2 linked regions of the Drosophila melanogaster genome follow. The protein of the gene in region 2 interacts with the protein of the main gene of each other region in a biochemical or structural test. Each region holds a gene or a part of one and is shown on either strand. Other genes may lie near its edges. The genes, in order: Pka-R2 and Akap200.

Region 1 (5,049 bases), on a different chromosome or scaffold from region 2:
ATTTATTGGGCAAACGAAAAAAAAAAACAAATTTTAAATGGTGTGCAAACGTTAAAAAGTCAATTTTTTGATTTCCAAAAATTTTCGAAAATTTATATTTCAAAATATAATATTTCAAAACGTAGGCAAAAAAAACTAATTGGTGGGCAAAAACGGGCAAACGATTTTAGCTTTCAAATTTTAAAAATTCGATTTTCCGAACCCAGCTTCTTTGAGCTGCTGATGGATGTTTGTCTCTCGCCTGTTGGTTGTTGGCCAACTGTGTTGCTGGGCTCTTATTCTCCTTTGTCCGTTTGGCGAAGATGCCAAGTTTACAAAATGGAGGAATTAATTGCAAATACAGCTCATCGAGAAGGAGCTCGAGAATTTATTATCTGGATTCCGTTTTGCAACAGGGGAAAAGAGGATATTAAGAACGGGAAATGTAGTCGGATTACATAAAAAAGGGTGTAACTGGGGAATTTTGAATTCAAGCAGTTTAAAAGTCTTAAAAATAGATGGCACTGCATAGAAAGGCACCTTCCAGTTGTTTAATAGTTCCTGTTGTTATTTTCAAAGAAATCTGGGTTACATTTAAATCTAGACAAAGAATTTTAAGTTATTTGAGCAAAATGATTTTACGATTTAGTCCACGCCTAGTACTTTTTACAGTACCATTTATATGTTTATTTTTGTTTTTATAAAGCTTGTCCAACCCTTTTATTAAGTTTTTATGAAAGTAATTATTGCTTTATAAAGGTGAAGTATATATACATTTGTAGAAACAACGGGTGCCTGACTGAGCAGCAAAACTCATAATTTTCCTAAATTATGAAGTGAAGTGTGCCAACTAGTCATACTAGTTGTACTTGAATGCTTTTCTTTAATTTTCAAACTTATAGAAGCGAATTCTATAAAAGTTATCCGGGGGTATTCACTGATTTATGGCCCGCGTACTCATTTCAACAATATTCGAGTAGAGGTATGGGTACATATATGGTGGGGCTCATTCCAGAATATCTCAGTGGCTTTCTGAGCACTTCGATCCCCGCCACACTAGCTGTAGTATAACCTCACCTGGCGACCCACCTGCCCAAGCAGGCGACTTTTGCTGGCTTTTTAATTTCTGTTTGCTCTTTAGTTGTTTAGTTGTTTGTTTATCAAGCAATGCCAACCCTTGAGCAATTGATAAGCGCGTGAAATATTTAATCGCACGGGGAGCAAACACAAATGGCAGCGGAATGGAAAGGAATGGAATGGAATGGAATGGATTCCAATGCGAATGCGGCGCGATACTCACCTGACTTTCTGCTGCTTTGCTGTCACCTGCTGGTGGTGATAGTTTCTTTCGGGTGGGTGGGTCTCCTGCGTCCACCTGTTTCACCTGCTCCTCCGTCTCTTTCTTCGCTGACTTTTTTTGCCTTGTTCCTTAGCTTGCTTTTGTTGTTTTGGCTAAAACCAAATTTAATTTGTTACTCTCATGGACTTTCCTTGTTTTTCTACATTTATTTTTGGATCGTTGATGTTGGTGTTTATTGCCGCTTTCGCTGTTGTTTGATGTTTTGAAAGTATTTCGGTTAATAGATTTTGATTGCTGGATTCGTATTTACTGAGATTTGAGCGATTTTTTAGTTGTCGTGAGGTACACTTTTGAAACATCAATTAGACGAGCTCCAGCCATTAAACTAATTTTCAATCTTATCAATTTTCAATACGGTGAATTTTTGTACATGTATGTAATTAGTTTTGGTCTGGTTTCACTTTATTTGTTTTATGCCTAATATTTAATTCCCAAAAGGCATGAAATAATAACATGCCAAAAGTCACGTAAACCAATATTTAACCAGGTTTTGCAAAAATTTCGTTTAAGCTTTGAAGAAAAACATTTTTGTTGTTCGCCAATGTAACTGCTTAATTAATTGGGTGCCCGAAATTGTTTTTCGCTTGAACAGACATTTTTGTTTTCTTGTGTGCTTAACTGCAATTGTTGTTTATTTTTGAATTGCTACAGCGAGCCAGCACAATTCATTTGTTCGGTTATAAATAAAATATGAAGTGAATTCTGGTTGTCACTTTGCAAAACCTAATAGGAAACACAAATTAGCGAACAAAATTGACGTGATTATTTTGCTTATTGCTCAAATTTGATCAAAACCTGCTAAACGATGGAGGAACTTTTGTTTTTTTTTTTGCGAAATAATTTGTTCAAGTTGGCCTAAATAAACATGTTGGTTTTTGTGTATAATTAGGCATTTGTATTGTTGTTTATTCTCTACTTTCTTGCAACTCCTACGTAAATTGACTTTATTTTGCTTGACTTTTTTGGGTTTGTAATAATGTAGGGGCTAATTCTGATTGGCATCCTGAAAAGCTGGCGCCCGTGACCCAATTTCCGAATATCGATAGGCGTCGATAACGCAGGTAGCAGTTGCACTTGCACTTGCACTTTTTTGAACTATTCTTTAACTATTGTTAAATCCAAACAAGATATGATATCTGGCAAAAAAAAAACTACTGATTAGGGCAAGTATTTAGTTAATTGATCACTGCACTTGTTTAAGACTCGAAAAATAGAGCGCTCAAAACCGGCATTTGAATCATATGCGCAAGCCCCTCTCTCGCTCCCCACTCTCTCTCAATCTCTTCGCGCTCCAATTTGAGATCCCCTTTCTCCACCTGCACTCCGCACTCGCTGTCTCTTTTTCACACGCAGCTCTCGTGTTTATTGATTGTCCCCCACCGAAAAAAACCTTCAAGTAACAACAACACAACAACAAAAGCAGCGGATAGGTAGATTTCTGTATGTATGTATTTTGTATTTTCGGGGGAGGGATTGGGAGGCAGGCCACCTACACCGCCTCCCGCCTACAGCCCACTTCGTTTTTTATTACGCGCACGTAGTGTGGTTTTTTTTGCTCTCTGCTCTCACATTTTTACATACACTTGCACAATTGAAGAGAGAGCGAGAGGTGATAAGTGCACAGGTGTAGGGGCGGGGGGCGGGGGGCGGCGCGAAGCTGGAGTTAATTTGCGAGCACGCTTTTTTGTTTTTCGGGCTTTTCTCTTCGGTGCAATTACTTTTTCGACTTTTAAACGCACATTTTCCAGCGATCCACCAACGCACAACGGCACACGGTTCTATATTTTTGCCACCGGCGATTCAACCGCTGTTACTCGTTAGATTTTTTGAAAAATTTTAATGGCAAACGTAAACAAGTGCGAACGGTGAAATATATCGCAAGCAGAAGCCTCTGTATTCCGATTCCGTGTCAGGCAAAAATTACAAAAAGTTTTGAATTGCGGGTTGCTTAAATAGACTTGGTGCTCCCGCAAAAGCTCGCTCTCAGCGGAAGCTCTCTCTCTCTCGCGGCCAGCTCTCTTGCGTGTGGGTGTAAAAATACTGAAGAACATACCAAAGCGGGGCAATTGTAACGTAAGTTTTTCAACGGTTGTCTTCAGATATTTAGAAAATTAAATAAAAATATATGTAAGAAAAATTGACTACTTAAATGAAAGAAACCCCTAAAATGATAACACAATGACGTATTAAATGCAGCATTAAATGGACGTATAGTCCATTTTGAAGGACTAATAATATAAAAATCATTTTTTATTATTATAATTCCTTTGGTGGTCATAACAAACAGTGGGAACTGAAGCGAGGTCTAAACAAACGTTTAAGATGCAATATTTTAAAAACAAGATGCAGGTCGATCCGACTGTCCACTGATCATCCGTAAGGGCGTTATGATGATCGCATCATTGTATAGTCTAACGGCGGAGATGTCAAACTCGATAGCTCTATAGCTCGGATTTGTAGATAGTCCACAGCTTCATCAATGGTTGGGATCTCGGTTTTCCCGGATTTCGCTTTGAATAGCGGGTGCGTACTGTGCGTTTCCGGACTGGACTGTTCCTTCCCATTGTCCATGTTTATTGAATCAAGCGCTTTAAATTCAAATCGCAATAAATGTTTTCATTTCACTTCTTGAGAGAACTACATATGTTACCAGGTGGAATGAAAAATCTGTGCATTATTATGAACCTGACCGATTAATACCATTAACCGATAGATACCAACACTGGTATTATGTTCAGACCACATACTGTCCACCGAGGTTGCACGTGCGTATTTTGTTTGCAACAGTTTCAATCGAGTAAACGAATTGTTGATGAAAACGATGCTCGCCGCCCCCACAGCCAGCAGCAATGGGAGGCCTATTGGGCCCCACAAGTCCTGGAAGAAGGTGAACGAGGAGCGGAAAGCGTTGAAGCGGCAGCGCAAGCAGGACAAGCTGCTCAAGGAGCTGCAGCAAGCCAAAGAGGCAGAATCACAGGCGGGAAAGGCAGCCAATGAGGTGCAGGCTAAGGATAAGCCTAATCCGTCCACGCTGAGCATAGCTGTTCCCGGTTCAATTCTCGAGAATGCCCAATCCAACGAGCTGCGGGCCTACGTGGCCGGTCAAATAGCCCGGGCCGCCTGCATCTTTCGGGTGAACGAGGTAATCGTCTTCGACGACGTGGGTATAGCCACCGCCCGGGAAACAAAGCGTAGTTACGAGGCAGATGGGGAAGGCAGCAGCACTGGCACTGTGCGCAGCAGCTCATTACAACTGGCACGCATATTGCAGTATCTGGAATGCCCGCAGTATCTCCGAAAATACTTCTTCCCGCTGCACAAAGACCTTAAGTACTCTGGCTTGCTGAATCCATTGGACACACCGCACCATCTCCGTCAACAGAGCAAATTCAGGTATCGTGAGGGCGTCATTTGCGACAAGAAGGCCAAGGAGGGACACAGCTACGCCAACGTGGGGCTGCTTAACGACGTTTTGGTTGACAAGGCAATAGAACCAGGCGTCAGAGTAACTGTAAAAATGGAACCTCAAAGTGGTAGGCATTTAAATCGAACATTTGTGCTCCCAGTGCCGAACTAATGAACTATTCGTCCTAACAGAGAGCTGTAGAAAGCAGCGGGGAACACTAGTTAGCCCGGATGAACCACGTCGGGAAACAGGTGTTTATTGGGGCTACCAGGTGCGCATCGCACACTCCATGTCTGAGATTTTT
Region 2 (4,940 bases):
CTTTGATGAACCCGCCGGTCCCACGGGACTTCGCGGCTGATCAAGATCCAGCACTATATAGTTTACTCCGCAGCTGCCCGCTAAGCTGGTGGGCGTGGCCGGCTCTTGATTGGAAATTGGTTCCCTCGGCAGCAGAGGGAGCTCCAAGCGATTTACGTTCTCATAGCAGCGCTCATTGTTCAGATCAAAGATCAGAGCTTCCACATTGGCGTACATGTGCACAGCATCGTTGGGACTCAGAACTGGAGCTGGTGCTGGGGCCGATTCCAGAGGTGGCAAGTCCATCGTGCGCCTACGTGATGTCAACCTATTGCCGGAGGGCGGGGTGGAAAGCAAATCCGAGGCGGTGCCTTCCAGACAACAGTCCTGCAAAGCCCGCAATGGCTGATCCAAATAGGCACTGGGTATCAGGACTGGTGATTGCAAATTGGGCGGAGAGTCATCGACTTGCGAATCGTTGGCCTGCAGCGGATACGATGCACTTGTGCTCGAGGGCTCACTGTGGAAGTTGCCCAACTGGCGGCTCATTAGGGGAGCCGGCTCTAGATAGTTATTGCCCTCAGTACGGCCCATATTTACGGACACCGAATGAGCGGAGTTAACCCTTTCTCGTTCGCCCTGCACAAAGGCATCTGTATTCACCGCGTTGATGTAGCGCTGAAACATCGGATACAGCTGCTCGGCATTGTGGACTCGAAACGTGTAGATCCCTGGCCCAGACATACACCTACGTCCTGCTTCGAAGGAGAAGAGATCGTTATTCAACCCATAACGTCGGAGGTGTTGCAGTGCCCAGACAATGGGCTCACAGCCAGGCGACTGGAATATTAGTTCCCGGGGCGTTAGCTCCAGGTAGCCACTCCGGATGATGGGCGTACCCGGGGTGGGTTGCAGGTGAGCCACTCGCACTCGAAACACATTCTCATGACCGCGCAGCTCATTTAACTTGCTGCTGCTGGTGATGCAGCCCATGGTGTTGCACTGAAAGACGGAGTATTATGCATTGAAGGATTATCCACTCCAGTCATGTACAGTGCCTATTGAAATGCACACCTGGACAGGCAAGTCCGCCTGGCTGTTATCGCAGCGGGCATGGAAGAAATCGCAGGCCGATAAGAGCACCACCCACCGCCTCCACCAGCTGAAATCAGCTACCCAGTGGAACTGGAGGCTCTGGGGTGCAGTCGAATTGTGTTGCTGTTATCCTGGTTGACTCCTCCTGCTTTGGTTAACTCCTGATCGACGGGACTGCTGGCTGATTGTTGTTATTTGGCCACGGAAATTCCGTTCTTGTGGTATAAAATTTCTTCTGCGACTTTTCCCCTCGCCCGACAGAACGCAATTGTGAGCAACGGGCATGCTAACTTGATTTTCGCAAAAAGACTTACAAGAAACGCTTTTTAAAAAAGTAAACGGAAAATCAAAGACAAATTACAAGTAATTACACTTAAAGAATGAAAAACTAGTTTAGCCAAGTTTAAGCCAAGGAAATATTAATATTTCAAAATTTATAGAAAAATATTGCAAATGTCAGCTTAATAGAAGTTTTCTCTCGTTTAATAGAATAATCTTGAAGATTTCTTACGTCGTAATTTTTACGTTTCTGCAAATGTTTACTGCAATTAACAAGTAATAAATAGGATTCAGATGTAAACAAATATAATTTATAAAAAAATTTTAAGTTAAGGCATTTTAGTCATCTTAATTGTATGGTTAACCATTTGGCGGAACATCAACTTTGTGGACAGCACTATAACTAGACCCGAAGCCCTAACGCGTTCTAACTGCGAAAACATCCTAACGCGACGTAAATACCAGACCCGAGCGGACATTTTTTATTTGTGGAGCGCGCAACAAGAACGAGAAAAGAAACCGAAACGGAAAGCAGGCAAAAAGAGCTGCTGCCAGTGTAGAATCGCAAAGCAAAGAAAGAAGCAAGTGCGTGTGTTTTTAAACCGAAACCGAGAGAATCGAGCCAGGTAAATTCCACTTTAAGTCATAAGATCAGAACATAAAGGAGTTAATTTAAAAAAATAAATGAAAAAGAAACCAAAGCCAAGCAGGCAGACGGCTTGCGTGTGTGTGTGTGCGTGAGTGGTGCTACTTTTGAAATTCTCTATACCCGCTTTGAATTTCGTGTTTGTTTAAAGGAATTGTGATTGAAAAGGAGACAAAGAGTTATTGACGAAAAGTTTCTAACTGGTTTCAAAAATGGTAACTGTATTTGAGGCACAAGTGTTTGTAAAAGAGACGCCCGCCGACGCTCACACACACAGGCAGGAAAAAGGACGCCATGGAAGGCGGCTTAGTGTGCGTGAACGGTGAAGAATGGGAGAAGCGAAGACTAAAAGAGATATTTAAATGGAGTTTTATGCATTTAAGGAGAACTTTCTTTGTCATTAACCCCGCCCCCGCAAAATACAGCATTCGAATTTCGCCACCTTGGAGTAGTTGCCTTTTTACAAAATTTTTGGGTGTGCCGCCTTCAATGCGTCGGCGTTGCCACCACGTCGGCGTCCGCAGCAGCAGCGCAGGCAGTGACGGCGGCAGAGGCAAACACCATGCCGGTGTGGCTTTGTATCCGTATCCGTCTCGCTCTCTCTCTCTCTCTTTGTCTCTTCGGCTCAATCTAGCGCTCTCTCCTTTTTGTGCCTCGCCTTCCTTCGCCTCGCCCGCTCATCGCTCTGGTCCTTTGTGCCATCGCTTCGCCTTGACTTCTGGTTCATTGTCGTTGTCTCCTCTTTGTTTGCATTGTACGCCTGATTACACTTGCCAACATGTTTCTACCTTCTCAGCCAAACATCCTTGTGCAAGGTGCACGCACATAGCGAGTGCCCACTGTGGCCATTTGATCTTTGTATACGTTTCGATCCCTTTTGCGTCTCGGTTTACTCAGATTATCGATACGAGGAGGATCGTCTTTTTGTTTTTCCTACACTTTTGTTGCGAAAAACTGCGTCGCACTTTCTGCAGCGTCGGTTTGTCAGTTCGTCCGTCCGTCCGTCACTCAGTCGTTCAATCGCTCAATCGCAGACGGGCAGACAGCCACCGCCCTAACTGGCGTCGCCTACATGTCTTTGTGTGTGTGGTGTATGTGCTTGCGTGCCTGGGGTAGTGTGCCTGTGTGCGTGCCTCGCTGCATGTGTGAGTCCTTTACGAATGGAGTGGGTGGGCAGAGGCCGAGGAGGAAGAAGCAGAAGCGCAATCACAAGATTTTCGATTGTCAACTGCAATTTATACTACTGCTAAGAGAATTTTATGATCTACTTGCAACGCTGAATGCTAATGCCTTAAATTTTAGTAGCCTCTGTCAAGGATCTTAAATTCAAGTTCTTGTCACAATCATATTTCTTAAGTATATAATTACTTTTATTGTTAAATATTTGTACTGTACTTAATACGTAAAACGTATTTGACAAGTGAAATTTCATGATTGCTCTACTGAAATCTTTTCTTTGAAAATGAATGCTCTTCTTTGTGTTCTAACCTGACCAAATTTATTTGTCAGTGACCCAATTTAGGCACCAAAACTGTAAATATTTCCGAAAATCTTATCAATTTGCCTGTTGAAAATTTGATTAGGAATGGAGTTTGCATTCTGAATTTTCCCCACTCCCGAAATTTGAGCAAATTGAATTATTTCGCTGCGATTTCAGGTAGCGGTCGCCAACCGAATGTATCTTTGAAATTGGTTTATTGTTAAGGAGGAGGGGAGGGCGCCCCATAGAATTTGTGGCGGGTTTTCCCTTGAAGTCGGCTCGAATTTCGTGTACATATTTGCCAGTCGTTCACTGAGGACGAGCATATACATATAATGCTTTTTGGTGTCGCCTTTATTGGCGAATTTGTCAACGTTTGCTCAAACTCGAGTAAACATTGCATTGCGATACGGTGTGGAGGGACTGGGGGCAAACATGCCGTTTCGTCAAGTGCGATTCGCGGTTAACCAGCAATGCTCGATCGCACAATTGGCCTTAAAGCTGTCGATTAGGGTTTAAATTTAACTGCGAACTATTTGGAAATAAACAGAAATCTTTTCCGGAATTACAATACAGTAAAACTTGATATTCTAAGAAGTTATAGATGGTTCACGTACGGTTATAGAATTTCTTAGTGCAGTAAAGGTGGCAAAGCATGTACGAAAAACATATTTTCGACTATTTACTAACGCATGTAATGTTATTGACAACTGGAAAGATTCCAGGAACATGCCTTTTGTTTATCAACATAGTAATTATATATCAATGCTCGTGCAGCTACTTCCTGGAAATGAGTGTAAGTAAGCATGGTCATTTTGGAAGTAACCCATACGATCTAATGATTCGCAGAACGGAGACACCGGTCTGCCAGGGCACATTTGTGCGCTAAACATATGAAGCTCAAAGTCCGAAGCTCAATTGGGGAGCATGGGTAGCTGCGTATATATGTATGTATATGGGTGTGTGTGTAAGCCAAAGTGTTGAGAGGTCCTTTGTCACCGCTGCCATACATTCGTATATCTACGAAAGCGAGCGAATTTCTCATTTAATATGCAAACATCTGTGTGAAAGATGTTCGAAGGCTGCCGCTGTGATGTGCTGCTGCTGGGGCTGTGTGAGTGGAAAACGTTTGCAGATTGAGCTGATTTTCATTTCACGTTCTCTTCTCGAACAACTCGAGTGATATAGCCCTCGGTTCGACCACTTGAGGCCACTAATTCCGCAGGAATTCGGTATGGTTTCAGGCATACTATCATAATTGCTGGGGGTGCACATTAAAATTTTTTTTTTTTTTGTGTTGTAGGTGTTGTTGTTTTGGGAGGCATTTGGCGTGCCGAATGGGCATTGTATTAATGCCAAATCAACAGAAATGTGGAAAATAGAAATATATGTGTAGTCCGCACTAAAAATCAATCGCAGTAGGCCCCAGAAACCAAAATAAACAAATAGCGTCCGAGGCGA

What was found.
Region 1: the proteins of Akap200 (region 2) and Pka-R2 form a complex in vitro, tested with the Drosophila melanogaster proteins (one study listed by BioGRID).

What each region holds. Positions count from the first base shown.
Region 1 is NT_033778.4:10,022,772-10,027,820, forward strand, and holds the start of Pka-R2 (protein kinase, cAMP-dependent, regulatory subunit type 2), read right to left. Parts: upstream 3,272-5,049; 5' UTR 3,058-3,271; intron 1,589-3,057; exon of another isoform or gene 1,432-1,588; 5' UTR 1,280-1,431; intron 1-1,279. Other genes in the region: CG12128 (uncharacterized protein), read left to right, coding at 4,152-4,872, 4,937-5,049. UniProt on the Drosophila melanogaster protein: Regulatory subunit of the cAMP-dependent protein kinases involved in cAMP signaling in cells. Mediates membrane association by binding to anchoring proteins, such as Akap200. Might play an essential role in the regulation of neuronal activity in the brain.
Region 2 is NT_033779.5:8,413,908-8,418,847, forward strand, and holds the start of Akap200 (A kinase anchor protein 200), read left to right. Parts: upstream 1-1,782; 5' UTR 1,783-1,979; intron 1,980-4,940. Other genes in the region: CG13398 (uncharacterized protein), read right to left, coding at 1-972. UniProt on the Drosophila melanogaster protein: Scaffolding protein involved in the regulation of PKA signaling and anchoring to the actin cytoskeleton integrating signals propagated by cAMP, diacylglycerol and calcium.